4 linked regions of the Saccharomyces cerevisiae S288C genome follow. Each later gene encodes a partner of the first gene's protein in a complex. Each region holds a gene or a part of one and is shown on either strand. Other genes may lie near its edges. The genes, in order: ESA1, EAF6, YNG2 and EPL1. A codon is read from its position in the direction of its gene.

Region 1 (8,101 bases):
CTTTTTTATAGATAAAATATGCCAAGTGAAAAGAAAAGGAAGCAGAAGAGAAAAACTTAGAAAGGTAGAGGTAAGAAAGAATAAACCAAAATGTAAGCTAGGTGAGGGAAATATTTTGGAGCTTAAATATCTCGAACGACACTCACTCTCGTCAGAAAAATCTGTCGAGTAACTCAGACCACCTCCGATAGCATACCTTGTTTAGTTTCATAATCGGCAGAGACGTCATTCCTGCACAGAACGCCAAAATTCGTGGCCCCCGCGGTACCTGAATCAGGGCCAAGAATTTTGGCGTTTCGTGTTGTTGACATATTCCGAAAAAGGTATTGAGCCACAGGTCTTTCGCGTCTTCTAAGCCCCAAGATAAAGAAAATGCCGCCCTGCTTAATCACTGTTTTTTTTTGGAAAACCCTGAAGTATAGAAGTAGGGCATTGAAAGAAAAGATATGCGGGTAAGATATGAAAAAATTGAGGAAATGAGACCCAAGTGTACATGGGTATATATAAACAAATCATTATGGTGCATGATGCATCACTTACAATGCACACACACTATTGTCTTTGTAGAAACGGGGAAGACAATGGTTGTAGGCCTGATTGGTATTAGAGGCATCCGCAGTACGAGACATACGCCAAAGGCAGAATGTTAGACCCACGAATATTGCCATACTACGACCCGGCTGTGGAGAGGAAGATTGCTGTAGTAACAGGCGGAAATACGGGTATTGGGTGGTATACTGTCTTGCATTTGTATTTGCATGGGTTTGTCGTTTATATTTGTGGGAGAAACTCTCACAAGATTTCGAAAGCAATCCAGGAGATACTGGCAGAAGCAAAGAAGAGGTGCCATGAAGATGACGACGGTTCAAGCCCAGGCGCGGGCCCAGGTCCAAGCATTCAGCGTCTAGGGTCACTGCACTATATCCATTTGGATTTGACAGACTTAAAATGTGTGGAGAGAGCGGCACTTAAAATTCTCAAGCTGGAAGACCACATAGACGTGCTTGTTAACAATGCAGGGATTATGGCGGTGCCCTTAGAAATGACGAAGGACGGATTTGAAGTGCAATTGCAGACTAACTACATTTCGCACTTCATCTTCACGATGAGATTATTGCCTTTACTGCGCCATTGTCGTGGCAGGATCATTTCCCTGTCCTCGATAGGCCATCATCTAGAGTTCATGTACTGGAAACTGAGCAAGACGTGGGATTACAAACCTAATATGCTTTTCACATGGTTTAGGTACGCGATGAGTAAAACCGCGCTAATCCAATGCACGAAGATGTTGGCCATCAAATACCCTGACGTTCTTTGTCTCTCCGTTCATCCGGGTCTGGTGATGAACACAAACTTATTCAGTTATTGGACAAGGTTACCCATCGTCGGTATTTTCTTTTGGCTGTTGTTCCAGGTCGTAGGGTTCTTTTTCGGCGTATCGAACGAACAAGGTTCACTAGCTTCTTTGAAGTGTGCATTGGACCCGAATTTATCTGTCGAAAAAGATAACGGGAAGTACTTCACCACGGGGGGTAAAGAATCTAAATCGAGCTACGTTTCTAACAATGTCGACGAAGCGGCATCGACTTGGATCTGGACCGTTCATCAACTAAGAGACCGTGGTTTCGATATATAACAAGACGGAAAGATTGAAAGAGTAGATAGATGTACATTTTATTTAAATATTAGTTAGTCGTTATTGTAACTGGTAATCAGAGCAAGAAGTTTTTCTGTACTTTGTTCTCTGCAGGCAACTAAGTTACGGGCCGACAAAGGCTTATGATGTGCGTTTTTTATTCAATTGATAGATTCAGTCAGCATTGACGTAATGGGAAGGCTAGAAAAAGAGAAGACTGAATTTGGAAACTTATTCCTCAAAGCAGACCAGTACTTCCACCGCATTTCTGTACTTAACCAAGCACGACAGTGGTCTATCAGGCTTGGATCTTTCACTACACTTCCGCCAAAGTTTTTTTTTTTTCCTGTTTATCCCAGATCACGTTTGTTCCATTAAGGAGGTTTACTATCATCTCATTTCCATTTACACATACACTTACATATACATAAGGAAACGCAGAGGCATACAGTTTGAACAGTCACATAAATGTCAGGAACATTCAATGATATAAGAAGAAGGAAGAAGGAAGAAGGAAGCCCTACAGCCGGTATTACCGAAAGGCATGAGAATAAGTCTTTGTCAAGCATCGATAAAAGAGAACAGACTCTCAAACCACAACTAGAGTCATGCTGTCCATTGGCGACCCCTTTTGAAAGAAGGTTACAAACTCTGGCTGTAGCATGGCACACTTCTTCATTTGTACTCTTCTCCATATTTACGTTATTTGCAATCTCGACACCAGCACTGTGGGTTCTTGCTATTCCATATATGATTTATTTTTTTTTCGATAGGTCTCCTGCAACTGGCGAAGTGGTAAATCGATACTCTCTTCGATTTCGTTCATTGCCCATTTGGAAGTGGTATTGTGATTATTTCCCTATAAGTTTGATTAAAACTGTCAATTTAAAACCAACTTTTACGCTTTCAAAAAATAAGAGAGTTAACGAAAAAAATTACAAGATTAGATTGTGGCCAACTAAGTATTCCATTAATCTCAAAAGCAACTCTACTATTGACTATCGCAACCAGGAATGTACAGGGCCAACGTACTTATTTGGTTACCATCCACACGGCATAGGAGCACTTGGTGCGTTTGGAGCGTTTGCAACAGAAGGTTGTAACTATTCCAAGATTTTCCCAGGTATTCCTATTTCTCTGATGACACTGGTCACACAATTTCATATCCCATTGTATAGAGACTACTTATTGGCGTTAGGTATTTCTTCAGTATCTCGGAAAAACGCTTTAAGGACTCTAAGCAAAAATCAGTCGATCTGCATTGTTGTTGGTGGCGCTAGGGAATCTTTATTAAGTTCAACAAATGGTACACAACTGATTTTAAACAAAAGAAAGGGTTTTATTAAACTGGCCATTCAAACGGGGAATATTAACCTAGTGCCTGTGTTTGCATTTGGAGAGGTGGACTGTTATAATGTTCTGAGCACAAAAAAAGATTCAGTCCTGGGTAAAATGCAACTATGGTTCAAAGAAAACTTTGGTTTTACCATTCCCATTTTCTACGCAAGAGGATTATTCAATTACGATTTCGGTTTGTTGCCATTTAGAGCGCCTATCAATGTTGTTGTTGGAAGGCCTATATACGTTGAAAAGAAAATAACAAATCCGCCAGATGATGTTGTTAATCATTTCCATGATTTGTATATTGCGGAGTTGAAAAGACTATATTACGAAAATAGAGAAAAATATGGGGTACCGGATGCAGAATTGAAGATAGTTGGGTAATAATGAATTCATTGGAAAACACAAAATATGTTAGAATAAATAAGGATTTTTTAGTGTTTGGGCTGTATATCTTAAGTAAGAGTATTAACTTACAGGAATACTGGAGTTCTCGTTGAATATTAGTGATTGTTTTACGTAAATTTCATTTATTTAAAGCTTTTACATTAGAAGTTGTTTGAATGTAAGTTTAGGAAAGCACTACATAGCTTACCAGGCAAAGCGTAACTGAGAGGCAGTAAATACCGGTGGTTTCCATATGAGTCTATTAGGGTCTATTGTCCTTCTCTTTTTGGCTTTAAGTCGATTGTACCTATCTAAAATATCTTCATTCAGGAAAATAATATGCTGACCCTTGTAATATCGCAGGATATTCAGTGTCTTTGCTGTGTGTAATATATCTGTAGTGGTCATCGAAGTCATGGAGCTTATTTCGTCTATAGTAATTTCCTTCTGGTGTTCCACTAATAGCGTTATGAGAGTGTCCGACCAATAGGCTCTATAGGATAAGAGACCCAAATCAGACAAAGGTTTCTCGGGAGAACCAACTTTGTTTTCCTTTTTCGACAATTCATACGAAAATTCAATCAATAACTTACCATATCCCATCCTTTGGTATTGTGGTAGTGTTAAGATACATGCAACATTGTAACCATCCGCGGATTCTTTTTCCTTGGAAAAATATCCCACCAGATGGTGACCCAACTCATCTCGTCTCGTCATGCAATAAAACAAAAACGGATCAACGTCATAGTATAATGTTTTGTGATCTAGGAAAAGTTTGGAAAGTAAACACAAGTTTCGACACCAAGTCCTTTGCTTTCTACCATCGATTTCAAAGAATGAAACATAATCGTCTCTGTAGATTTCATTTCCTGGCGGATGTCTTAATGTACATTTCTTCCTGTAGCGTTCGTATTGTTTCTTAGATCCAAAATACTGCAACGTGAAATCGTCGATATATATAAAATCTTCATCAGTTAATTCAATAGGATATGGAGAAAAGTACCATGGTTCTATTTCATATTTCCCCATAATGATTCGATTGAGATTTCTAACTCGAGCCACCTCATGTGGATTTTGTGTCATAGAGCCGGAGGTTCTAAGCTTTTTTATCTCATCCTCGTGTGATATGTTCTCATCTTTTATTCCCTGTACATTTAGATTATCTAAGTCCATAACATCCGTATTTTCTCTTGAGAAACCATCTACACCATCTTGCAGAGAGTCTTGTGGCGTTTCACTAGTATTTGTTGCCTTCTTCTTTTTTTGTTTCTTATTATCTTCATCAGTAGCCTTTAGTTTCGGATATAGTACTTCTTTATCCAGGTTTATTCTGTCAGTGGTAATCCACTCATCTAAACGCTTGTTGTAATTAACATAGTGAACATAGAATTTTGGTGGTGCTTTTCTTGTGTTTATGGATAAAATTTCAGCTAATCGTTCTTCATCATTTTTTTGGACCCAGCATTGACATTTGATAATAATATCATCTACTGAGTTTATCTTTTTGGCAATACCAGGTTCTTCTTTTCCGTCATGGGACATCGATGATTTCTTGCAGTATTTCCGAGAATGGTAGCACAGGAAGCGTCTAAAGAATGGTAAAGCTCTTTTCTATTCTCCTTTGATTACTATAATAATATACACCTTTTAGCAATATTCGTTTTGCATTTGCTCCGCCGGAAGCCGTTTTCATCTTTTCAACGGGCGGGTAGTAATTTGGAAAATTTTCCATCATTATAATAATGATGAAATAGTCAATAGGTACAGCTCATCGATTAATTATAATCACGTTGTTCCTTCCCAAGGAAAAAAGCAATATCTGTTGCATGCCATGTCTGACTCCTCAGAAGCCACTGTAAAGAGACCCCTTGATGCTCACGTAGGACCTTCCGAAAATGCTGCAAAGAAGTTGAAAATTGAGCAACGTACTCAGGCAGATGGTATTCACGAAGCAGATGTCGGTATTACTTTGTTCTTATCTCCAGAATTGCCAGGATTTAGAGGCCAAATTAAGCAGCGTTATACTGACTTTTTGGTCAACGAAATAGATCAAGAAGGTAAGGTCATTCACTTAACTGATAAAGGATTTAAAATGCCAAAGAAACCACAACGCTCTAAAGAAGAGGTCAATGCAGAAAAGGAGTCTGAAGCAGCTAGAAGACAAGAATTCAACGTCGACCCCGAATTAAGAAATCAATTGGTGGAGATATTTGGTGAGGAAGATGTATTGAAAATAGAATCCGTTTATCGCACGGCTAATAAAATGGAAACGGCAAAAAATTTCGAAGATAAATCTGTTAGAACTAAAATTCACCAACTGTTACGTGAGGCATTTAAAAATGAATTAGAATCTGTGACTACTGATACTAACACTTTTAAGATTGCAAGATCAAATAGAAATTCAAGAACCAATAAACAAGAGAAAATTAACCAAACCAGGGACGCTAACGGTGTAGAAAATTGGGGATATGGTCCCAGTAAAGATTTTATTCACTTCACTCTACATAAAGAAAATAAGGATACTATGGAAGCTGTCAATGTTATAACAAAGTTGTTAAGAGTTCCAAGCCGTGTAATTAGATATGCAGGTACTAAGGATCGTAGAGCAGTAACGTGCCAAAGGGTTTCGATTTCAAAGATTGGTTTGGATAGACTAAATGCTTTAAATAGGACTTTAAAAGGAATGATTATCGGAAATTACAATTTTTCGGATGCAAGTTTGAATCTGGGAGACTTGAAGGGAAATGAGTTCGTTGTTGTTATTAGAGATGTTACCACCGGCAATAGTGAGGTATCACTGGAAGAAATTGTGTCTAACGGCTGTAAGTCTTTATCAGAAAATGGGTTTATCAATTATTTTGGTATGCAGAGATTCGGTACATTCAGTATTTCTACGCACACAATTGGTAGAGAATTGCTCCTTTCAAACTGGAAGAAGGCTGCTGAGTTGATTTTATCTGACCAGGATAACGTGCTTCCTAAATCTAAGGAAGCTAGGAAGATTTGGGCAGAAACTAAGGACGCGGCTTTAGCATTGAAGCAGATGCCAAGACAGTGTCTCGCAGAAAATGCGTTACTATATTCTTTATCTAATCAAAGAAAAGAAGAAGATGGAACTTATTCTGAGAACGCTTATTATACTGCTATTATGAAAATTCCCAGAAATTTGAGAACTATGTATGTACATGCCTACCAAAGTTACGTCTGGAATTCTATTGCTAGTAAGCGGATAGAACTACATGGTTTGAAGTTAGTTGTAGGTGACCTTGTCATTGATACTAGTGAAAAGTCACCACTAATTTCTGGGATTGACGATGAAGACTTTGATGAAGATGTCCGTGAAGCTCAGTTCATTCGTGCAAAAGCAGTAACTCAAGAGGATATCGACTCAGTTAAGTATACCATGGAAGATGTCGTGTTACCATCGCCGGGTTTTGATGTGCTTTATCCTTCCAACGAAGAATTGAAGCAACTGTATGTGGATATATTGAAAGCAGATAATATGGACCCATTTAATATGAGAAGAAAAGTTCGCGATTTTTCATTGGCTGGCTCTTATAGAACTGTTATTCAAAAGCCAAAGAGTTTAGAGTATAGAATAATTCACTATGATGATCCTTCTCAACAATTGGTGAACACTGATTTGGACATCCTGAATAACACCAGAGCAAAAGAAAGCGGCCAGAAGTATATGAAAGCCAAGTTGGACAGATATATGCCAGATAAAGGCGGTGAGAAGACTGCGGTGGTGTTAAAATTTCAATTAGGAACCTCCGCATATGCCACCATGGCATTACGTGAACTCATGAAGCTTGAGACTTCTCGCCGTGGCGACATGTGTGATGTTAAGGAGAATATCTAAGGTTATACGAGGTGCAATATTCATGTATATTAGTTTACTTTTTTTGTCGGAAGCTCTTTCCCTCATACACTATTGTTGTGTCCGTGTCGTGTCACTTCAGGCGTCGGTAAATATGTATCTGCGCATCGCACACAAAGATAAAGCCTTTTTAAATATAAACAACACCTTCTAGATATATCTTATCAAAGGATACAACCACGTTTCTCAACAAGAAGGACCTAATAGAGGAAAATTATTATACTGTAGCTATCAATATTTTATAAACAAAAAGACAGATATATTCTCGCGTATTGAAGTCGGGAATCCAACGAAGGTAAAATAATAATAAAATACGAAGCATTTAATCCGGTCAAATGTACAAGAACTATTATTCAAACACAGAAGTTTATAAAAAGCATAAAGACTCTGGAAGTTTGAGGAAGAAAGCTTTGAGATCGAGAAGATCATCTTTTTTTTCATTTTTCAATGACTCGTCTAGTTCGAATGGAAACGAATTCATAGGTTTTAGACGATTTGCAAAAGCATATCTGTTTGGTCGTGAGATAGGTTCATGTGGTACAGATTCATATACACCAGTTGGGGCAAATGTAAACAAAAGACGTTTAAAAAAAGAAGATAAAAACGATCAACAGCTTTGGAAAAGGCAGCACCATTCACAGGGTTGTTTTTTTCCCATAGATGATGACAGTAATAAGCAAACAGAAGCAGCCGTCAACAAATTTTATGAGAATGGAGAATACGTTAATCAGGATTTAATTTTCAAGGGAAAAGTATATTCAGAAGAATCAGAGGTTGTTGATGAGAAAACGGCAGGTTCTCAGAATCCCGCTCTTCTCAAAACAAGATCAATTTCATTAAACGATATACCGCGCGGC
Region 2 (5,136 bases), on another chromosome or scaffold:
ATGAATTTAGGTGCCACCGTATCATTACTTGAATCTCCGACGTACGCGCCTTCCACGTGTAACTCTTGTCTCTCCACTGAATTTGCAATATCCAATTGACTTTGGCCGTTGATGGCCAAAATGTTTCTGGAATTAACCAGAATTTTGTCGCTTTCATCAATTAACTCAATTGAATATACCAACCCACCTCCACATACTAACACATTTCCTCTCCCATTCAGAATTTGAAATTTCCGTGGTAGTTGTGATTTTGATGAGTTCGAGACTAAAGACCTTGCAGAGGGAAAGATAGGCGATTTGATTTCCAGACTGGAGTTCTGTTCAAATGCGATAATTGAATCCTTGCCAAATACATTCCAATCCTTTGTCCCGGTCAAATTCAGTACGGACAAGCTTCTTGAAGAATCGAAAGGTCTTCTCGATGTTTGAAAGTTTGGGGCAGCCAGAATTTCTAAAACGGAGGATCCAATAATTCTATGAAACAATGAAGATTTGAATGAACGAAATTTAATCAGGTTTGACCAAAAATTCAGCCATTTATAGGAAAGGGATAAATGGTTCAAATTGTGAATGGAAACTAGGCAATCCTTTTTGATACAAATTGGAATATCTGGTTGAACAGTGATAGATGCAATTTTACCATTTTCGTCTACTAGCCTGAAACGGGAAGTCGCAATATCCTTGCTTAAGTTCTCGATATATGTCCTTTCTTTAGTTACGACATTACTCTCCGTCTTGGCCGCTTGTGGGCTCAAAAGAGAAATTGATCTCTGCCAAACTCGAGTATTCACCCTTGGGCTTATCATGATGGGTGGATATCCTTTTCTGTGCTTCTGTTTTGTTTATCTGTATCCGTTTATTCGCCAGCCAATAAAATGACTGGGAGCACGGGACCTTTGAAATTTTGCCCTTGTTAGTAAATCGTTATAAAAATACTTATATAGATATTTTATAGAAAATGAAAAATAAAAGAAATAGCCAATATGTAGGTATATCGAACTTAAAGGTCACCTGTCGAAATCATTTCCTTCTTCTCTCTTTTTCTTTTCAATCAGATGTTTTAGAGCGGTCAAGCAACGTAAATACCAACGTGTGCTATCGCATTAGTCGTTTTGTGATTGGCCATGCTGCTGCTTCACGTACGTAGCACTACTTAATGAAAAAATACGATCATTGTTATTGAATGCAGAATCTGCATGGCTGTGGTGTGACTTGGAGAAGGTATCAAACCCTTTTATGATGTTACCAGAATAGTGTGATTTTGACCCATGGGCTCCCCCATGACCTGAATGGTTGTTATTACTATTGTGTGAGAAATACTCGGTCTCTTTATCATATATCTCTTGTTGTAAGTTGTCAAAGGTATCTTCTTGCTCTCTTCTATCTTGGAGGGACTTTTTTAGTTCCGCTTTCAATGCTTCATAACTTTTCAGCTCATCAGTCATTTTCTTCTAGGCGTAGGTTGGTAACAAACGGAAAGATGATGGAAAATGGCTGTTCTCTAAAGATGTTTATCTTACGTATATTCTTTGCTTTCGTTGTGGCTTTACACACCTTTAATCATTAATTTAATGGCATAGTCGGCAAGTTGTTGAAGGACCTGGGTTAATCGCCTACATGTGAGGTTTTTTTAAAAATATCAATTACATTTAAAAAAGGAAAGCAGTAGTACCAAAAATCGGGCAAAAAAAATTTACCTAAATAAAGGAATGCATAAATGAAGCCGTTTAATCTTTGTATTTAATGAGAATATTACATATGAAGGTCTCTTGAGAAAGCATCAATAGTGGACATTAGCTACCTTTTAAATAAATGAACGGGTATGTCACCCATGGGTTCAAACTCTTCATCATCCTCGTCTTCACTGCGTACTTCATCGTATTCGTAACCCAAATTTTCTTTTATGTAATAGTGATCTTTCTTACTTTTCCTCTTTTCCAAAAGGTCATCGAATTCGTCCTCTTCCATATTCATTTGATTGAATTTGTTAAGTATTCTTTGTAAGAATGGTGTGTTCTCCCCAGCAGTTGCCGTGGTATTAGCATTCTTCATAGTATTCCTTGGGGGTAGCAAGGGAGGACCCGATGTTGGAGTTGATTCTGAACTACGGCTTGGAGCAATATTTTGCATACGTTGTGACCGATTAGGCGGAGGGTTCGGTTTACGATTGGGTAGAGTGTTATTTATGTTGCTATTAACATTATTATTGGGCTTACTAAAAAAATCGTTTATACTCTTTTTTCCCTTGAGCATATTTGGTGAATTATTTACGTCCACAAATGTCTGTTGAATTCTTTTGGTAAAAGTAGAGAGGTATTCACTTGGGTTCTGGTTACCTAATTTCTGTTGTCCATTTCGGGGCAGTGTATCTTTGAACTGTAACTCTAATTGTTTTAATTCTTTTTGGGCGACCTCTAATTTGAAACTAAGTTCATTGATTTCTCTGTGTTTTGCAGCTAATTTATATATTAAATCTTGGTCTGTTGAAATCGGACTTGCGTGGTCGCTCACGGGTGACTGATTTGTCGTAGATCTTTGCGGACTTGATATAGGTATAGCAAGTCTTTTGGGCTTTAAAGGTGTCGTAACCCTTGGTGATTTTGATTCAGGCTGCACTTCATGTTGTTTTTGATGCGGCTGTTGCTGCTGTCCTTGGGAGTGTTTATCGACAATCGACAGCTTATGTAATTCAATTGGTTGACTAATTACACGCTGGTCTTCTGACATTACTTTAGGGCGTATGTATGGATGTATTTTGTATTGCTTTTGGCTAGTTAGTAGTATTCCTCAATCGTATTGTTTTTGATTTTGAAAAAGCTAACGATAAAGGTCAGGAAAAAAAAAGAAAATTGTATGTAAAGGAATGTCTGGAGAGAGTTACACAGGAACAGAAAGGTCCAGCAACGGTTTCTACAACCAATCATGGATGTTGATATAGGATGTTATTTTGAAGAGAAACGCTATGACGACAAACTGTTAGACTTCATCAGATATGACGTTAAAACACCTAAAAAGACTAAATATATACTACAAAGGCCTACGGCGACAGATGAAGAGAGTGTACGATTACAAAGGTTTTACCAATTAGGAGTAGATCTAAAATTGAAGTATTCCAAGCGGAGGTCATTGAAGAAGCAAGGGCGGATCAAGAATGCTACTGAGGAATTGCTGCGATTAGCCAATGAACAGTTGAAACTTTTCAACAGAATAGTAGAAAGAGAAACCAATTGGATAATTTATCCGCTGTGGGTAATGGCTAAACAATTAATTCGTCTGGCAAACGAATCTAGTGAACTTAATAAAGACTCAATTGAGGAATGTGGACGCACTATCCATAGAAGCTTTACTATATGCCTCAATGATAGGAACCCAAGATTGAATGAAAATAAAAAAATCGGGTGTTATATGTTTGCTAATCTAGAGTTTTCCATCTACCATCGGTTAAGTAATAAAGATATGATTAAAAATTTAGTGAAAGTCCTCGAGAGCAGAGTGAACGCCCGGGATATACCACCGTTGAATAAAAGCCTGGCAATGGAACATAAGTCTCAAGTGGTGTTGTATAATTATTATCTAGGTCAATACTACGGATGTCTGGAAAACGATCACGAACGCGGGTTCTTCCATTTAAATGAAGCATTATTGCAATGTCCAATGCTATATGTGGAATCTACCGGCAAGTTCGTCTTACAGGGCCAAATGGAAAAGATAATGATACTGCTGGTTCCGCTTGCTCTTTTAACTAAAAGGTTGTACCCTCACTGGGATCATCCAGTAATCGCCGGAGTAATTACTAGGAGTAAGCGCTTAAGTCAAGTTTATCCGACATTAGTGCGTAGCGTAATCTCAGGGAACCTGTCACTGTACGAGGCTACCGCAGCAAGCCATGAAAGATTTTTCCTTTCGCAAGGATTGCATGTCGTCATCACATTACTTCGAGAGGTGGTCTTCACTCGGTTGGTACAACGATGTTGGCAATGGGGGAATGATCGGAAAAGTATCATGCCCTTGAAAATTCTTCTGGCAACAAAACAACACGATAGTTCTGCCAATGAGGACGAAGAGGAGCAGTTGGATGCCCTAGAATGCCGTCTAGCAAGTGCTATAGCAAGTGGGCTTTTGCGTGCTTATCTTTCTCACTCCAACCGCTGCATCGTTTTCAGTAAGAAGGAGCCCTTTCCCCATAGCAAATGATAGAAAAATAGTCAATAATTGAACGAAGAAAAAAAAAAGAAAGTTTGTTCATAAAAGAATATCATATTATATATATATATAGGGTCGTATATATATCGTGCGTCTTCTTCCTTCTCTAAGGGTAAAATTCCTTGTATTTGTTATAATAGTAGTAACTGCCGAGCCCACCCAAAGCTGTCAAAACGACAGGGACAGGTTTAGTGAACCTGGAAGGCATGCCTCTTATGACACCAGCACCAAGTAGTAAGGTCGATGCACCCAATGCCATTTCGAGCCCACCATCTCTATTCATATGTAGCAAGTAACCGGCAATCCCATATACACTACCGAATACTAAGCCAGATACTAGAGATGGAATGGAGCCCTTACGGTAGTATCCCATAAGGCCACCGGCTGTAGTCAAAAGACTCAATGTATATGCTGGATGTTCCATAGTGTGATCTGATGTTCCTTTCTCTCAAACTTCGTTTCTGTCTTGTCTCCCGCTGTTACCTAATAACTTCATGTGATCTGCTCCCCCTTCTCGTTAAATACCACCTTTTCATCAACCCCGTAGGGCGCGACACGTCTAAAATATTAACCTCTGAATACTTATTGGGTCAAAATGAATGTTGATAACTTTCCTTTACAAAAAAAAAACTAATAGAGTATATGCATTTCGGTAGTGAAATATTCGTTAATGCTAATATGCTCAGTAGTGATCCTAGATTACCAGTTTTACTGCAGCCATCGTACAATTTTGGAACGAGTATAAAGAGAGAAATTAAAAACGACAAGAAATATTCGTACTAGCTTCTCTTCCGGCTTGATGACAGTCTTAATATCATCTGCAACTCTTGAAATCTTGCTTTATAGTCAAAATTTACGTACGCTTTTCACTATATAATATGATTTGTCAATGTGATGAGTGAATGTCTCCCTGTTACCCGGTTTTCATGTTGA
Region 3 (7,685 bases), on another chromosome or scaffold:
ATACTGACCAACCCGAAGGCCCAATTTATCCTTTGGATGTACTACGCCTAGACATCTCAAAAGCACTGCATGATATATCCGGAATAGACCACTCGCTAATACTAAATGCGCTTGAGTCGACAAATAGTATGGATAGAGGTGATCTACTGCTACCTCTTCCAAAGATAAAAGTGGCTGACCCTGTGGCCGTTGCCAACCGATGGGCCATTGAACTAAGCACGCATGGGTGTATTGGAAAGGTTTGTGCAAAAGGGCCATTTCTTCAGTTCTTCCTGGACCAGCGGTATTTGATACAATCAACGGTACCAAATATATTACTTCAAAAGGGGAAATATGGTCAGAAAAAATCTCGTCATCAGAAAAAAGTTGTAGTAGAATTTTCATCACCAAATATTGCCAAACCATTCCATGCAGGCCATTTAAGATCGACTATAATAGGTGGATTCCTTTCAAACTTATATGAAGCAATGGGGTGGTCCGTTACACGTATGAACTACCTAGGAGACTGGGGCAGACAGTTTGGTTTGTTAGCAGTCGGTTTTAAGAGATACGGCGATGAAAAGACGTTACAAAAGCAGCCAATTCAGCATTTATTCGACGTCTACGTTAAAATCAACATGGACCTTGCCAAGGAAGAGATAAACGGAAACTCTAAGTGTGGGATTAGCGGTGAGGCCCGTAGTTTTTTCAAAAACTTAGAAAATGGGGATGAGAATGCCATTAAGATATGGAATAGGTTTCGCTCGTTATCCATCCACCACTATATCCAAACTTATTCACGTTTGAACATTAATTTTGATATATTCTCCGGTGAATCACAAGTGTCTAAAGAATCTATGAATGAAGCCTTAGATATATTTCGCAAAAACAATCTTGTTAAAGAAATAGACGGTGCCCTTGTCATCGATTTAACCCAATGGTCGAAAAGATTGGGCAGAGTTGTTGTACAAAAATCAGACGGAACAACTTTGTACTTGACAAGAGATGTAGGGGCAGCCATAGAGCGTAAAAAGAATCTACATTTTGATAAAATGGTGTACGTGATTTCCTCACAGCAAGATTTATACATGTCCCAGTTTTTTATGATATTAAAAAAAATGAATTTTGAATGGGCAAAAGACTTGCAGCATATAAATTTTGGTATGGTGCAGGGCATGTCGACCAGAAAAGGAAATGTGGTATTCTTAGATACCATACTAGACGAGGCAAGGGATAAAGCTCTGCAAATTATGGAAAATAACAAAATGAAAATATCTCAGGTAGATAATCCACAGCGTGTTGCAGATTTAATTGGCGTATCTGCTATCATTATTCAAGATATGAAATCAAAGCGTATCAATAACTATGAATTCAACTGGAACAGAATGTTGTCTTTCGAAGGTGACACAGGGCCCTATTTACAATACACACATTCCAGACTTAGATCTTTAGAAAGGACCTCCAGCGACTTTACGACGGACATGCTAATACACGCAGATTTTTCAAATTTAAATGAACCACAACTAGTTGAGCTTGTGAGGTTGCTAGCGCAGTATCCAGATGTCCTTAGACGAGCATTCGAAACTCAAGAGCCGGCCACGATTGTAACATATTTATTCAAAGTTTGCCATCAGGTCTCCTCGTGCTATAAAAAAATATGGGTTTCCGGAAAACCTGCAGATATTGCCATACCGCGACTCGCCGTATATTCAGCAAGTAGACAAGTGTTACACAATGCAATGTCGCTTTTGGGACTAGTCCCGGTTGATAGAATGTAATTATATGAATAAGCTAGCAAATGCTAGATTAATTTAGATTAAGTTTAACCAATTTATAAACATGTAAATAGAAGAAAGTTTATTGTTACGTACAACGTGATATTTTCCGATTTTCCTTTAATTGATTCTTGAATAACCCACCTACCGTTAGTTGAAATAGAAACAAAGAAGAAGGATATGCAAGTTTATATTGGACAACATAACCAATAGAAGATGGATCCAAGTTTAGTTTTAGAGCAAACGATACAAGATGTGTCCAACCTCCCATCAGAATTTCGTTACCTCTTAGAGGAGATCGGTTCAAATGATTTGAAGCTCATCGAAGAAAAAAAGAAATACGAGCAAAAAGAATCACAAATACACAAATTTATAAGACAGCAAGGCTCAATACCGAAACATCCACAGGAAGATGGGCTTGACAAAGAAATAAAAGAATCACTTTTGAAATGTCAGTCTTTGCAAAGAGAAAAATGCGTTCTGGCGAACACTGCCTTGTTTCTAATTGCTAGACACTTGAATAAGTTGGAAAAAAACATCGCTTTATTGGAGGAAGATGGTGTTCTAGCCCCCGTGGAAGAAGATGGAGACATGGATAGCGCTGCTGAAGCCTCTAGAGAAAGTTCAGTTGTGAGTAACAGTAGCGTGAAAAAGAGAAGAGCTGCATCAAGCTCAGGATCCGTTCCACCCACTTTGAAAAAGAAAAAAACTAGTCGAACATCTAAACTGCAAAATGAAATTGACGTTTCTTCAAGAGAAAAGTCTGTTACTCCAGTGAGCCCAAGCATTGAAAAGAAGATTGCAAGAACAAAAGAATTCAAAAACAGTAGAAATGGTAAAGGCCAAAACGGTTCCCCTGAAAACGAGGAAGAGGACAAAACTTTATACTGCTTCTGTCAAAGAGTTTCGTTTGGAGAAATGGTTGCATGTGATGGACCCAACTGTAAATATGAATGGTTTCATTATGATTGTGTAAATTTAAAAGAACCTCCGAAAGGAACATGGTACTGTCCCGAATGTAAAATTGAGATGGAAAAAAACAAACTGAAAAGAAAACGTAACTGAACAAAAATACCTTTTTGAGACTGAATGACCTCATTTACACTAATAATATTCCATAAGCCAGAAACGGTGATTGCTATTCTGACAATGTGCTTTTCGAAAAGGAGAAGTAATTTCGAGACATCAGCTAGCAAGGACATATACGATTGACATTTTTGAATGTACTTTCAAATACTTGTGAATCAAACTAAGATATGATTCCTGCATATTCAGGTATATACTATATATTTTAATTTCATTAGCATATGTGTCATACGGTTTTTAAAACTTATGAGCAGGAAAAAGGTGTCACGTGATCAGATGGTCTTTTTTTCAAACTTTGACGTCGGAATTTTTTGTAGTGAAAAATTTTTCGAGATGAGGAAAGGAAGAAAAAATTAATTTGTTAGCCTTATAACGTGAGCACCTTTTCGATAGAGTATCTGATTGCTCTCTTCTACCAAAAGATCACCTGAGGATAATTTTTAACCAAAAGAAAATAATGAGTTTCAGAGGAGGTAATAGAGGTGGCCGTGGCGGCTTCCGTGGCGGCTTTCGTGGTGGACGTACAGGCAGTGCTAGATCATTTCAACAAGGACCACCAGACACTGTTCTAGAAATGGGAGCTTTTCTACATCCATGTGAGGGTGATATTGTTTGCCGTTCTATCAACACTAAGATTCCATATTTCAATGCGCCAATATATTTGGAAAACAAGACTCAAGTCGGTAAAGTTGACGAAATATTGGGTCCATTAAACGAAGTATTTTTCACTATCAAGTGTGGTGACGGTGTCCAAGCAACCAGTTTTAAAGAAGGTGATAAATTCTACATTGCCGCTGACAAACTATTGCCTATTGAAAGATTTTTACCTAAGCCTAAGGTGGTAGGCCCACCAAAACCAAAAAACAAGAAGAAGAGAAGTGGTGCCCCAGGTGGCCGTGGTGGTGCTTCAATGGGTCGCGGTGGTAGCAGAGGAGGTTTCAGAGGAGGCCGTGGTGGTAGTTCTTTCAGAGGAGGCCGTGGTGGCAGTTCTTTCAGAGGTGGATCTCGTGGCGGATCATTTAGAGGAGGATCTCGTGGCGGATCTCGTGGTGGTTTCAGAGGAGGTAGAAGATAATCTAGCTAGAAAAAAATAAAAAAAAAAACCATCCTTTATCTTTCACAATTCTTCATTTCTTCCAACTTACTATATCTGCCGAAGCACGTCTAACGTCGAAAAAAAAAAAAAGAAATTACCGTTTGTTCTGTATACTATATATATATATATTTGTTTGATTGATTTACCTGTAATAAATTGATTTAAAATGAAAAAAAGAGAAATTCAGTAATACCAGAAGCCGCCGTAGTTAAACAAACGACCACGGTTCTTACGGTTGTCTTAATATTATATCCATACAAAGTTTACGAATGGAACACTATAAATAAAACTTTTTCTTTTCTTTGTCCATCTCAGGTTTATGCTCCCATTCAGTTTCTTCCTTAATACCCCTTTGCAATCTTTTCAACTTGAGGGTAAATTGTGGACCCAGTTCTTGCAAACCAACCCTTTCATTATCTTTGAAGACATACCGATGCCTTCTGAAGAAAATGTAATCTCTTTGATTATGTAGGGTGATAACTTGTCGACCTTCAATATCAGGATTCTGAGGTAAAATGGACTGAAACAACCTACCTACTGTTTGACCCAATCTGGTCTGGAAATTATTTAGAATCAATTCTGGAATATGGCTAGTTGGTCTACCATGACCGACAATTTTCTTCACTTCAACAAATGATGATAATTTAAAATAAAAAGTTGGGCCCTCTGGCAGATGTATGAATGTTAGGCCAGTAACCTTTTTCTTGTCCTCGTTGATTATCACGATGTCAGTGAAATTCCTTTTTATACAAATATCAGATATTTCCTTCAATTTGTAGCCAAATTTTCTTTTCACAAATGTGACGTTTGGTAAAATTTCGATTAAAATGTTAGCAAATTCATAAGCGCTCTTCTTAGCGTTTACATTTGTGGTCAGAAAGATCTTTGGTGGCTCATTAGAATTGCTGTTGAAGTATCTCATCAAATCGTCTTCATCTCCCTCCACTTCCTTGTTAATGGTCTCATCGTACACTCTAGTGTTCTCTATCGTCTGTGTTACGTTCTCTTTTAATCTCTGCTCCCGCAGCTCCGGATTCTCTCTCTCTTCCTTAGCTCTCTTTCTTCTCATGGTATGGCGCTCTTTATTTTTTTCATGTTTTATATCAGCAAAAATTTCTTGCCTCTTTAGCTTGTTTGTGATGTTTATCTCATTACCGAGAGCCATTTTTTAGTATTTCAATATATTAAGCCTGCTTTACCTCTTCCTTAGGTGTTCAATCGTAAAGTATAGCTTATGGCATCGCATTTCTTTTTACATCTCATCGCTAAAAATTTTACTTTTCCTTTGTATAAATAATCATGTGTGACGAACGCGAAAATGAAAAATGCACTGAATTAAATGTATACAACGTTATATAGATCGTAAATATGTATATTGAAATATACACCTTTTTGTTCTTTCTACTACTGTAAAAGAAGAATGCATGCGTTATGACAGGGCAGCACGCCAATTTAACTTATTGCATATTTCAATGCAGGCTGTCCAGACAGAAGGAAAAGCTACTCAATTGTAGGCTTTGGTTCCGGCGTTACCCCCTTTGGTTTTGAGACTAGAGGTGGTAGAGTTTGGCTTACCATTTCTCAATATCAAATCGATAACTTCTTCGATCTTCTTGCCCTTACCGAACTCATTTTCCACTTGGGCCTTGGAGGCAGCGCCCAACTCACCCTCGGCACCCCTACCGTCCTGAGGAGTGAAAACTTCGAAGAGTTCGACAACTTCAGATAGCTTACCAATTGATGGATTTTTCAAATATTCGTCTACAAGCTCTTCGGATGCAGCGAAGACAATCAAATCTGTATTTTCACCCTTGTAAAAGTATTTGGTTACAGTAGACATGTTGATTTTATTTTGTGTATGCGATGGTTTTCTTATTTTTATCAGCTTGTTCAAAGTATGAATTTGTTGATAGCTGCTTTTTTATTAGTCAAGAATTGAGTTTAAAGAACATTGGCTTGTGATCATCATCGAAATTGATTCTCATCACTTAAATATCTTTTGCTCCCTGTTTCTGGCGATCCCTTCGACTAAATAAGGGGTCGTTGTTGTTACGTACGGCCCAACAGGGTAGTGCCTGCTCTAGCGTCGAAGTTAGAGGAAAAGAAGCTTAGAGAATAAAAACATTTACTAGTAGTAAGGGGTCTTATTGTCAGAAAGGGACAATTGCGTGGGCAGTATTTTCAAAGAGTGGCTTTCTTCTTCTGAACGGAGTTTCAACCTGCGCTTTCTTTTCCTCCTGCTAGGATTTATTTGTGAGAAAACGAAACTAGCTATAGAAACGCGTAGCACCGGCAGGCCGAAAACCGCTACTACGTAAAGGGGAATGAAAATGGGCCAAATTTGGTGTAAAGATATAGGAGAAGAGACACGGAGTAGGAATTCGCCGTGCCCCTATACAGAGACAACATGAATAGAGAGACAAACGCATTACGTAGTCTTGGAAGATAGCGCAACGGGAAATCTTGACACAGTAAGAAACATTTACAGTATAATAATACTAAAAATAAAATTAAGATACATCAATATAAAATTTTCGACAAATACAGAAAAGAACAGAGAAGAAAAAATGAAGGTGACGCAAAAAAGGAATTGACAGGCCGTAATGAGTAGTGATGGAAAGAAGGTAAATGGAAGTAATAAAGGAAAATCATAAACATGCTTAAAAGCGTACAATCTTGAATTGAATTAAGAATAACAATAACCTTGAAAGAAATGAAAATCAAAAGGAAAAACGCAACTATAACGATACAAAAAAGACTTAATAAAAGGACATGGAATCTTGAAAACGATAAAAAGCAATGAAAAAAAGAAAATAAAGCGCTGTTATATCACCGTCAGCCTAAGACCAAATACAATTTAACACTGAAGTAAAGAAAATACCAAGAAAGAAAAAGGGCCAAAAGGAAAACAAACATTTTTATATACACGTGTGGCTCAAGCAAACATAAAACCATTACTGCCTTGTTCCAAACGGTTTAACATTGCATTAGTGCTGTTAACAACCGCTTCGCTTCCTTGCATGATAACTTGTTGGCCACCCGTGCCTGAGAGGTCCATAGAGCTAGTGTCAGCCAGTAAACTAGTAGCTTGCGTATTTGTAGCATTATTATTACTGTAGAAACTGAAATTGTTCGAGCCTAATCCATTCGCATTAGCGTATGGATTAGAATAATTCAGAATTTGACATCCAGGAAGCATCGTGGATGAAACATTATTATCTGGCAGAACAGGTGCTTCACACGTACTGGATGGAATGTATCCGTAGTTAGGTTGCTGTAAACCTGGTTGCTGTTGTTGAACCTGTAAAGAGTTACTTAACATGGCTTGCTGAAGCAACGCTGTTTGCTTAGCAGACCTGCCCCAAGACAGTCTAACTCTTGAATTTGCAATGGGGAACCCTTGCATCCCAGCAATGGCAGCCTCAGCCGATAGCCGATCAACATACTGGACAAACCCGCAACATTTGCCTACCGGAATTTTGACATAGACTATCGTGCCAAAAGGTTGGAAATAAGCACGTAATTCGTCTTCAGTCACCAGTGATGACAATCCTCCGATAAACACAGTGGTGTTATTCGGATCAGTGAAGTGGTTTAAAGACGGCTGCTGTTGGACTGGATAAATGAATTGAGACATATGGTTTCTCTTAAAGCCCATGTTATTATTTCCATTGCTTAAAAATGATTGACCCTTGGAAAGAAATCTCGAGTCTACATTTTCGTTGTTTAGTGACGAAGAACTACGGTTG
Region 4 (9,058 bases), on another chromosome or scaffold:
ATTAATATTCCGTGCTTTCTTAAAATATATCCCAAAGTGCTATCAAAGGAAGGAAACTCAGATGTCTTGTTGTACCAGTAGAACTGGTATGACAGTACGAGTGCTATAAACGCGACTGGAAAAGATGCTAGTGCTAATCTGTACCTGATAAACAGCATTTTCAAAGTTAAAGACCAATTAATAGTCATTTTAGCTTCTAAGGACATTCCGGGTGGAATAAAAAAACTTAATTGTAGCGATCTCGGTTCGCTTTCATTTAATGGGATAAACGGTGCTACATTATGCATATTTATATCGAGACTTTTGTTTATAATATTTAGATGCCATTTAGACTCGAAAGGTTCGTAAACCCATTGCCTTATGAAAGGCTGAAACAATGTCTCTTCGGAAGCAATACCTTCGTTGCTTGCCTCAATCTTGGTTTCTAATTTGTACGATAATAAAGAATCCCACAAATTACTGAAACTTATAACCTGCTCGATGTCTTTGCCATCCAAGTGTAGTTGTTCTCCAAAGAGCAATATTTGAGAAGGTGTAGTATTGACTATTTGTACATTGGAGACGTTGCGCAGTAATGCCAAAAGAAACCCCTGATTGTCCTCCATGCCTTCTTGTTCTGAAAATTCACCGTAAGTGGGTTTGCTTATCATCAAGTAGTCGTACTTCTGTAGTATATTCTTGCCAACACTAACGGCTTTAAACGGATTTTTTGCTTCTCCAAAAGAAGAATCAGCTGCGAACTGAGTATCTTTTGAAGACCTGGGCACTGTTAGAATACTATCAACAGCTGTTATACAGCTTAGATTCACCCTGGACTCTGTACAGAAATAGATCATAGGCATATCGAGACTAGTTAATAATGTGAAATGCAGGTGTTCAGTGGAGGAGATGTTACTCGGAATATTTATTTTTGTATAATTGTTGTGCCACTTTTCCAGGTTAAACATTTCAAAATCTAGGACATCGTTCATTTCCAAAGTAGCGTAATCAGAAAAGAAGTTGTCACTAAATTCTTGTAAGTTTTCTTGAGGATAATTTAACTTACTATTCATCCATGAGTAGTCTTCAAACCCTGAAAGCAATAGTTTTCTAGCGATTTGCAATCTCTGATTCAATGGCTTAACTTTTTCAGGTTTGGAGGCATCTATACTTTCCAATAAAAGGCGCGCTAGTACCTCTCTTAATTGCTTGCACCAAACAATGGCTAAATGATCAATTGGAGTCCAAACATCTGGAATAGTAGTTGTGAAGCTGGTGAACCCATTTTCTAAGCTAACCAAATCTTCTACAGATGCATAATCTGCAGGTAAAGTAGTATCCAATATACCGCCTGTAATGGAAACCAATGAAATGTTCTTAGAGAAAAAAGAATCGTTTTGGGATAACTGCTTTCTCCAATATTCGTTTGTATTTTTGTAAAGCTTTAAAATGTCACCATCAAAGGTTACTGGTGAAGCAGCATGAGGTGATGATAAGGTCAATATGGTGCTTATACTTCCCGGTACGTGGTTCTTCAAAGTTAGCATGACCCTGGATACAATACCGCCCATGGAATGTCCCACGATAATAACTGACTGCGGTTTTGGATGTGGGTAATCAGGGGTCCTTTCGTAAAGAGACAAGATGTACTTAATGGCATCATTTAGGTATTCAGCTTGATCAAGCATTGTTTCACCATGAAACGCAGTGAAATCTTCATTGAAATCTGCCGTAAAGAAGTCCAAATTTCGCACATTTTCGTTACGCAGAGTCGCCCTGGTATTGGAATCAAAATATATATTGGAGCAAGCGGAAGCAATCGATCTGCATTGCCTAAAAGAACCTGCATTTCCGGGTATAAAAAGTACAGGGATACCATCAAGTTGTAACTCATCACCATTTAAAGGTTCTCGGTCTACGCTTTGTTCTCGATACAAGTAAAGATGATACTTGTGTGCCAGTGGTGTATACCTCTCGTCAAATCCATCGATCCTTGCGTAAGATGGAAACATATAGATAGATTCACACTGAGGAGCATCTGCACCATTAAAAGGTTTCAGTAGCGATATCAATAAAAGCGAGCAAATGCTTAAAATGCCAAGAATAGAGAAAAGGCGATATGTGTAAGGTTTTTTTGCTATCTTATCATTGTTCATATATTTGGGGGAAGCTTTATCCTGGTCTTCACGCGTAGCGAGTACTCTCGAGTATTGACCAGATGAGTTAACTTTATTAATTATGGGCCGCGTTATAACACTAACTAATCTCCTGATACCCATAACGAAATGAAGATTTTTGTATGATGGTAAGCCTAAGATATAGGCCAATGCTTTAAAGTAGAGGGAGTATTTCGAGTGTGAATTTACTATCAGATGGAACTGCAAGGAATGTGTTGAGACTCATTTTTACTTTTTCTTGTTATGACTTGGTTGGTATATTTAGACCTTTTTCAAAATTCGCGCCATACAGGAAAAAAAAATGGATAATAAGAAGAAATGCATTTATTTGAGGGTACCTAGTGAGTTATGCAATTGTCTATATAAGAGTATGAATCTAACTTAAATACATCAAGCATTTGGGATGAAATCATGCGAAAAATCAAAAGGTCACAACCGTGTGAAATGGAAATTAAAAAAAACGTTAAAAATATGTAGTCTTGTGAAGGTGATAATATTACAGCCGGATGATACTTGCTATTTTTCTTTTGAAATTTATTGTAGTTATCTTTTTTTGTTTTTTGTTTTTTTTCATTATTATTGCGTTATCGGTGTTCATTTCGGTGATTTGAATCTTCAGTAATGTTGCCTCGACTTTCGTAGTAAACTTTGAATGTCAGGTTTGTTAAATGCCAATGCGTAGAAAGATGTTCGAGAGGTACAAAGTTGTGCTGCTCATGATGAATTTTTCTGGGTTATAGAAGAGTTCTGTTTCGCTTCTGAATTGATTAACGAATCATTTAATTTTTTTAGGGAGTTCGAAGAATTTGAATTATTGTTCTGTGATTTCTGCTTTTGTTGTTGTGCTTGCTGCTGTTGCTGCTGCTGCTGTTGTTGTTGCTGTTGTAAATGTTGTATATGCTTTTGTTTCAGTCTGGTGATATAGTCCCTACGATACTTTATGGTGGCTTCCCTTAATTGTTCGTAGGACTTCGTACCCAACATTGTTCCGAATCTAATCACCTGAGTATCATTTGAAATCTGGTTAAGTCTTGCCGGTTCATCTGAAAACTTGATCCCATATTCATTTTGTGGAGAATCATACTTCCACTTGTCGTAAAGTCTGACAAATTCGTCGTATTTGGAATCGTAAACATTAATCGAGTCAGTATCGTTACTACCTTCTCTTGAATATTGTTCTTTTTCGATTGAATCGAAATCTACAAAATCCATTAAAGAACATGCAGACTTGGTCGACGATGTTGTAAAATTTGGCATACGATCAACATACTTAATATTAGATCTACCAACTCTCTTCCTGAATTTTATTGGATACTCTCTCGAATGAATTTCCAAATTTTCTTGGAATGGGTCGTACAGTTCAGTTTTTTTGATTCTTTTGGTATCCAAGTTGTAATTATCTTTGTTTCTCGAACGGCCATTTGAATCATATATTCTGATGTCATCAGATATCCCCTTCAAGTATTCTGGTAAATGTGAAGAATAAAAAGATCTATCTATCTGAAACTTGGATGACGCGATAGATGCAAAGGGAACATTACTAGTCGAAAAATTTTTAGGCAACGACATGTCAAATACAGGATTAAAGGGATCGTCCGTTAAGTTGAAAAAGACATCTGCGTCTTCAATTTTCCGTTTCTCCATCTTTTCCTGAACGAACTTTCTTGCATTTTTTTCTTTGCTGTTCAATAGAGCATCCACGTCTTCCAATACAATGTCAGGAATTTTGGAAGATGGTAGTTTGACATAAACATGAGACGTAATTGGCTGTGATGTTGAAGAAGAGGATGCATTCGCGAGTTGCTTTCCGTTTTCAGTCTTAAGGGCATTTTGCTGTTGTTGTTGTTGTTGCTGTAACAGTTGCTGCTGTTGCTGCTTGGTGAGCCTAGAAGATTTGTCTTCAAGTTGGTTATTCCTTTTATTGTTCTTTGCCTTCGCTGCCGCTGCTGCAGCAGCTGCTCTCTTAAGTTCAGCTTTCCTTAGTTCAGCTTCCCTTTGTTCGACCGTAACAATCGTGGGGCGTTTTCTCTTGTGGTTAATCAAGTCATCGTCTTCTCCACTAATGTTCAAAGATCTTTTCAAATTCTTAATTTTTACCCTTTGATCGAATATTTTTAATTCATCATTAATCCAATTTAGGGAAACGTTCTCACGTTTAGCAACAAGCAGGGCCAAGTCCTTCGCGTTTTTCAATTCTTGATGCAACGCCCTTAAACGCTGACTGTTTAAGATATCTATACGTCTTGTTTTCCGCGGATGTCTCACTTCTCTTCTTCTGAAACAGACGTAGGGATCAATCTCTTCTTTTTCACCCGGCCTTTCAAATTTCAGCTGCGGAAAAATTTCGTACCCGTTAACTTCAATTTTTCTTTCTCTCCAATAATCATAAATTTTAGAGCCGAACTTCTCTATCAGCTGAATTAAAGGTCTCGTATTCATTTGAGATACGGGGTCGAATTGTGTGATAAAATGTGTTTTATGAGAATTTATTTCATGATTCAGCTGGTTTCTTAGATTGAAATCAGCCATATCTGATTTTATTAATGTGGGCTTCAATTCTTCAAAAGAAAGTATACTTTCCGGATCCATACTCAAGAATGGTTGACGCTCGTGAATAGCATGTTCAAAACTGGAACAAAGTATTTCAAATTCGTCTTCAGTTAAAATGTCTGATGAACCTTTGTTGACTTGTTCATTTAAAAAGGTCTCATCTCTTTCATCCATATTGTAGTTGGTACCACAGCAATCCTCCACAGTGGCAGAAAATTTGATGTAGCTGGTGGTCTCCTGGAAACTGCCCGTATAAAACTTATCATATTCATTCCAAGTCATAGAAGCATCCGGGGTCGGAATATAGTCTTTGTGCTTTGTATGACCAGAACCCATTTGTAATATTCGATGCAAATGGACCTCCTTTTCTTCATTTTTTTCTACACCAGTTTCGATCTCAACCACCTCTCTCTGTTGCAATTCATCTTTATCCAGGTGTTTCAGATCGTTAGGCAGATATATCTTAAGATGTTGCTTCACAGATATTTTTCGATGTCTAAATCGACTATTACTGCTACCAGCACTGGCTCCAGCACCTGAATCGCCTTTTGAGAATGAATCTAGACCGTCATCGTGCGCACTCCTAGATCCAGACCGCCTAGTGCTTCTACCAGATTTATGCGAACCGTCATTGATCTCTATAGCGTTTGAAGGTGTCGGCATCGTTATTATCGTTATTTGCTAATGTTATTACAATGTTTTTATAAGCACGTGACTATAATGTTACCCTATCGTGTGCAATTTTTATTTATGTTGACCTGAAGTCCGCAGTTGCCGTACAATGTGAGAATATGGACAAAAGGAAGGCGAGGGTGGCAAAAAGAGGAGTCAAAAATAGATAGCGTTTATTTTATTATAGCAGCTCAGAGGAACGCGATGTGGTGTAATAATATTGCGAGTGTCTAATGACCACCAGAATACGAGCACAGTTTTGGCTGATTTTTGCAAACTTTTTTGCTTTTGTGTAGTAACCTCTCACAGGTATTGCTTGTATGCTATACCATGTGATATGTAATAGTACAATTTTGTGGTCGGATCGTGCTTTTGCCACCCGCGGCCGACGGAGAAAATTTTTTTCCTCTATCCCTTTGTTTCTCGCTTACTCCTGCGGTATGGGGTGCTAACTATGGTGAGCGAGTATGGGAAGAAGTAGCGATATACGGGTAACCCTAATGTTTGGGTGTTTTGAAATTTATCCTTGGAGGATAGGCGATGAGCTGCTCTTAAAGGTTTTAACAGAGAGTGTTGTATGAATATTCTGTAGAATTTTATAGTAAACAGGTATCCTCAGACTGTAATAGCCATGGATTTGTTAGCGGCCAGCGTAGAAAGTACGTTGAAAAATCTGCAAGATAAGAGAAACTTTCTTTCGGAACAAAGAGAGCACTATATAGATATCAGAAGCCGACTGGTTAGATTTATCAATGACAATGATGATGGCGAAGAAGAAGGCGAAGGCCAAGGGATGGTGTTTGGTGATATCATAATTTCTACGAGTAAGATATATCTAAGTCTAGGCTATGAGTATTACGTTGAAAAGACCAAAGAGGAGGCCATCACGTTTGTTGATGATAAATTAAAACTAATGGAGGACGCCATTGAGCAATTTAACCTGAAGATCGAAGAGGCTAAAAAGACCTTAGACAACTTGAATCACATGGAGGACGGAAATGGAATTGAAGAAGACGAAGCGAACAACGACGAAGATTTTCTGCCCTCTATGGAGATTAGAGAAGAACTAGATGACGAGGGAAATGTCATAAGTAGTTCCGTTACCCCTACAACAAAGCAACCATCACAATCGAATTCCAAAAAAGAACAGACACCTGCAGTCGGTCCAAAGGAGAAAGGATTAGCAAAGGAGAAGAAATCAAAGTCATTCGAAGAAAACTTGAAAGGAAAGTTATTGAAAAGGAACGATGAAGTAAAGAAAAAAGTGCAGCCATCTAAAGTAGATACAGAAAACGTGTATACATTTGCCGACTTGGTCCAACAGATGGACCAACAAGATGAATTGGAGGACGGCTATATTGAAACTGATGAAATAAATTATGATTATGATGCGTTCGAAAACTCCAATTTCAAAGTCAATGATAACTATGAAGAGGATGACGAGGACGAAGATGAAGAAGAGTATCTAAATCATTCTATTATACCTGGCTTTGAAGCGCAGTCCTCATTTTTACAACAAATTCAACGCCTACGCGCACAAAAGCAATCCCAAGATCATGAGAGGGAAGAAGGTGACGTTAATAAATCATTAAAACCTATTTTGAAAAAGTCTTCTTTTGCTGAGAATTCAGACAAAAAGCAGAAAAAGAAACAAGTCGGGTTTGCATCTTCTCTAGAAATTCACGAAGTCGAAAACTTGAAAGAAGAGAACAAGAGGCAGATGCAATCCTTTGCGGTGCCCATGTATGAAACCCAGGAAAGCACAGGTATCGCTAATAAAATGACATCGGATGAGTTTGATGGTGATTTATTTGCTAAGATGTTGGGTGTCCAAGAGGCCGATGAAGTGCATGAAAAATATAAAGAGGAACTGATAAATCAAGAGAGACTTGAAGGGGAAGCAAGCAGGTCGAATAGAAGAACTAGGGTGTCCAGATTCCGGAAGGATAGAGCTTCTAAAAAAGAAAATACGTTATCAACTTTCAAACAGGAAACGACAAGGTCAGTGGAGAACGAGGTAGTGGAAAAAGAGCCTGTTGTGGGGGATATTATAGAAAAAGAACCTGTTGTGGGGGATGTTATAGAAAAAGAACCTGTTGTGGGGGATGTTATAGAAAAAGAGCCTGCTGTCACCGATATAGTGGAAAGGGAGCCTGCTGTCAACGATATAGTGGAAAGGAAGCCTGTTGTGGGGGATATTATAGAAAAAGAACCTACTATCAACGATATAGTGGAAAAAGAACCGGAAATTAACAGCAAGAGCGAGTTTGAGACTCCTTTTAAAAAGAAAAAGCTAAAATCACTGCAAAAACCAAGATCATCGAAATCAATGAAAAAAAAATTTGATCCCAAAATTCTCGAAAATATAAGTGATGACGATTATGATGATGATGACGATGGTAATAAGAAACTTTTGTCCAACAAAAGTAAAAATAACACTGATGAGCAAGATAAATTTCCTTCAAAAATCCAAGAGGTGTCTAGGTCGATGGCTAAGACGGGCGCCACAGTAGGGAGTGAGCCGGTTAGAATTACAAATGTCGATTATCACGCCCTAGGTGGAAACTTGGATGATATGGTCAAGGCATATTCATTGGGGTTATATGACGACGATTTAGAGGAAGATCCAGGAACCATAGTGGAAAAGCTCGAGGATTTCAAAGAATACAATAAGCAGGTGGAGTTGCTGCGTGACGAAATTCGAGACTTTCAACTAGAAAACAAGCCAGTGACGATGGAGGAGGAGGAAAATGATGGCAATGTTATGAATGATATCATTGAGCATGAATTTCCTGAAAGTTACACAAATGACGAGGACGAAGTAGCACTACATCCGGGCCGGCTACAGGAAGAGGTTGCTATAGAGTACAGACGGTTGAAAGAAGCTACCGCGTCGAAATGGCAATCATCATCACCCGCCGCACACACTGAAGGCGAATTGGAGCCTATTGATAAGTTCGGGAACCCGGTCAAGACAAGTCGTTTCCGCTCTCAACGGCTCCATATGGACAGTAAACCATAACCCATATGGAGACAGAAAGTAAATCAGAATCTATATTAACATATACGTATATATTTGTTTTGTGTACAATAACTACTACAAAATTGGGGACAGACGATATAAAACTAGAGGAACTGCTGAGCTTATTCGTACAAGTCTTCGTCCAATCTAGCAGCAGGATTGGTTTCGATAAAGTCCAAAGAGACTTTATGACCTAACAGTTCTCTGATGTTTTGAACCTTATATTTGATCATGGTAGGTCTTTCCAAGGATAACCCCCAACCAAGGACTCTTAGATCCTTTGGTAGACCCATGGACTCGAGCATTTCTGGTCTGAACATACCAGAGTTACCGATTTCGACCCATTTTTGCAAACCTTCGTGCCAAGAAAAGATTTCCATTGATGGCTCGGTGTAAGGATTGTAGGTAGGCTTGAATCTCAAACCGGTGACACCCATTCTTTCGAAAAACTCTTCCATGAACTTGATCAGGTCACCCAGAGTAATGTTGTAGTCGGCAAGAACACCTTCCACCTGGTGGAATTCGGCCAAATGGGTGGCGTCAACTGCTTCGTTACGGAAAACACGGTCGATAGAAAACAATCTGGTGGGCTTTGGATCTTTGGCCAAATCGTGCAGCATTCTGGCAGAGATGGCTGTGGAGTGAGTTCTCAAGACCA

Evidence for each region.
Region 2: ESA1 (region 1) and EAF6 share a complex: the UniProt entries of both Saccharomyces cerevisiae proteins name them as parts of the nuA4 histone acetyltransferase complex.
Region 3: the proteins of ESA1 (region 1) and YNG2 are in contact, whole or in part, in a crystal structure (PDB 5J9U), measured with the Saccharomyces cerevisiae proteins. Residues at the interface, in NP_014887.3 of Saccharomyces cerevisiae: Asn226 (codon at 4,231), Arg242 (codon at 4,183), Lys243 (codon at 4,180), Ser439 (codon at 3,592), Gln440 (codon at 3,589), Trp445 (codon at 3,574); in NP_011958.1 of Saccharomyces cerevisiae: Leu5 (codon at 1,983), Glu8 (codon at 1,992), Gln9 (codon at 1,995), Ile11 (codon at 2,001), Gln12 (codon at 2,004), Ser15 (codon at 2,013), Asn16 (codon at 2,016).
Region 4: the proteins of ESA1 (region 1) and EPL1 are in contact, whole or in part, in a crystal structure (PDB 5J9U), measured with the Saccharomyces cerevisiae proteins. Residues at the interface, in NP_014887.3 of Saccharomyces cerevisiae: Ser153 (codon at 4,450), Met154 (codon at 4,447), Thr155 (codon at 4,444), Gln156 (codon at 4,441), Asn157 (codon at 4,438), Pro158 (codon at 4,435), Ala162 (codon at 4,423), Arg163 (codon at 4,420), Val164 (codon at 4,417), Arg165 (codon at 4,414), Ile171 (codon at 4,396), Gly173 (codon at 4,390), Lys174 (codon at 4,387), Tyr175 (codon at 4,384), Glu176 (codon at 4,381), Ile177 (codon at 4,378), Trp180 (codon at 4,369), Phe182 (codon at 4,363), Pro184 (codon at 4,357), Tyr185 (codon at 4,354), Pro186 (codon at 4,351), Ile187 (codon at 4,348), Glu188 (codon at 4,345), Leu189 (codon at 4,342), Thr190 (codon at 4,339), Tyr196 (codon at 4,321), Ile197 (codon at 4,318), Asp198 (codon at 4,315), Asp199 (codon at 4,312), Phe200 (codon at 4,309); in NP_116629.1 of Saccharomyces cerevisiae: Lys75 (codon at 5,147), Asp119 (codon at 5,015), Tyr120 (codon at 5,012), Ile121 (codon at 5,009), Pro122 (codon at 5,006), Thr123 (codon at 5,003), Pro124 (codon at 5,000), Asp125 (codon at 4,997), Ala126 (codon at 4,994), Ser127 (codon at 4,991), Met128 (codon at 4,988), Thr129 (codon at 4,985), Trp130 (codon at 4,982), Glu132 (codon at 4,976), Tyr133 (codon at 4,973), Phe136 (codon at 4,964), Tyr137 (codon at 4,961), Thr138 (codon at 4,958), Gly139 (codon at 4,955), Ser140 (codon at 4,952), Phe141 (codon at 4,949), Glu143 (codon at 4,943), Thr144 (codon at 4,940), Thr145 (codon at 4,937), Ser146 (codon at 4,934), Tyr147 (codon at 4,931), Ile148 (codon at 4,928), Lys149 (codon at 4,925), Phe150 (codon at 4,922), Ser151 (codon at 4,919).

Annotation. Positions count from the first base shown.
Region 1 is NC_001147.6:789,336-797,436, reverse strand, and holds ESA1 (NuA4 histone acetyltransferase complex catalytic subunit ESA1), read right to left. Parts: upstream 4,907-8,101; coding exon 3,569-4,906; downstream 1-3,568. Other genes in the region: ENV9 (Env9p), read left to right, coding at 644-1,636; DGA1 (diacylglycerol O-acyltransferase), read left to right, coding at 2,105-3,361; pseudouridine synthase PUS7, read left to right, coding at 5,196-7,226; SSP2 (Ssp2p), read left to right, coding at 7,580-8,101. UniProt on the Saccharomyces cerevisiae protein: Catalytic component of the NuA4 histone acetyltransferase (HAT), a multiprotein complex involved in epigenetic transcriptional activation of selected genes principally by acetylation of nucleosomal histones H4, H3, H2B, H2A and H2A variant H2A.Z.
Region 2 is NC_001142.9:580,811-585,946, forward strand, and holds EAF6 (Eaf6p), read right to left. Parts: upstream 1,446-5,136; coding exon 1,104-1,445; downstream 1-1,103. Other genes in the region: YJR079W (uncharacterized protein), read left to right, coding at 243-429; AIM24 (Aim24p), read right to left, coding at 1-806; ACF4 (Acf4p), read right to left, coding at 1,798-2,727; YJR084W (uncharacterized protein), read left to right, coding at 2,923-4,194; TMH11 (Tmh11p), read right to left, coding at 4,310-4,627. UniProt on the Saccharomyces cerevisiae protein: Component of the NuA4 histone acetyltransferase complex which is involved in transcriptional activation of selected genes principally by acetylation of nucleosomal histone H4 and H2A. The NuA4 complex is also involved in DNA repair.
Region 3 is NC_001140.6:278,911-286,595, reverse strand, and holds YNG2 (histone acetyltransferase YNG2), read left to right. Parts: upstream 1-1,970; coding exon 1,971-2,819; downstream 2,820-7,685. Other genes in the region: arginine--tRNA ligase MSR1, read left to right, coding at 1-1,757; H/ACA snoRNP pseudouridylase subunit GAR1, read left to right, coding at 3,298-3,915; rRNA-binding ribosome biosynthesis protein RPF1, read right to left, coding at 4,214-5,101; RTC3 (Rtc3p), read right to left, coding at 5,441-5,776; YHR086W-A (uncharacterized protein), read right to left, coding at 6,204-6,365; NAM8 (Nam8p), read right to left, coding at 6,872-7,685. UniProt on the Saccharomyces cerevisiae protein: Component of the NuA4 histone acetyltransferase complex which is involved in transcriptional activation of selected genes principally by acetylation of nucleosomal histone H4 and H2A. The NuA4 complex is also involved in DNA repair.
Region 4 is NC_001138.5:84,977-94,034, forward strand, and holds EPL1 (Epl1p), read right to left. Parts: upstream 5,370-9,058; coding exon 2,871-5,369; downstream 1-2,870. Other genes in the region: BST1 (Bst1p), read right to left, coding at 1-2,258; BUD27 (prefoldin-like protein), read left to right, coding at 6,010-8,400; FRS2 (phenylalanine--tRNA ligase subunit alpha), read right to left, coding at 8,523-9,058.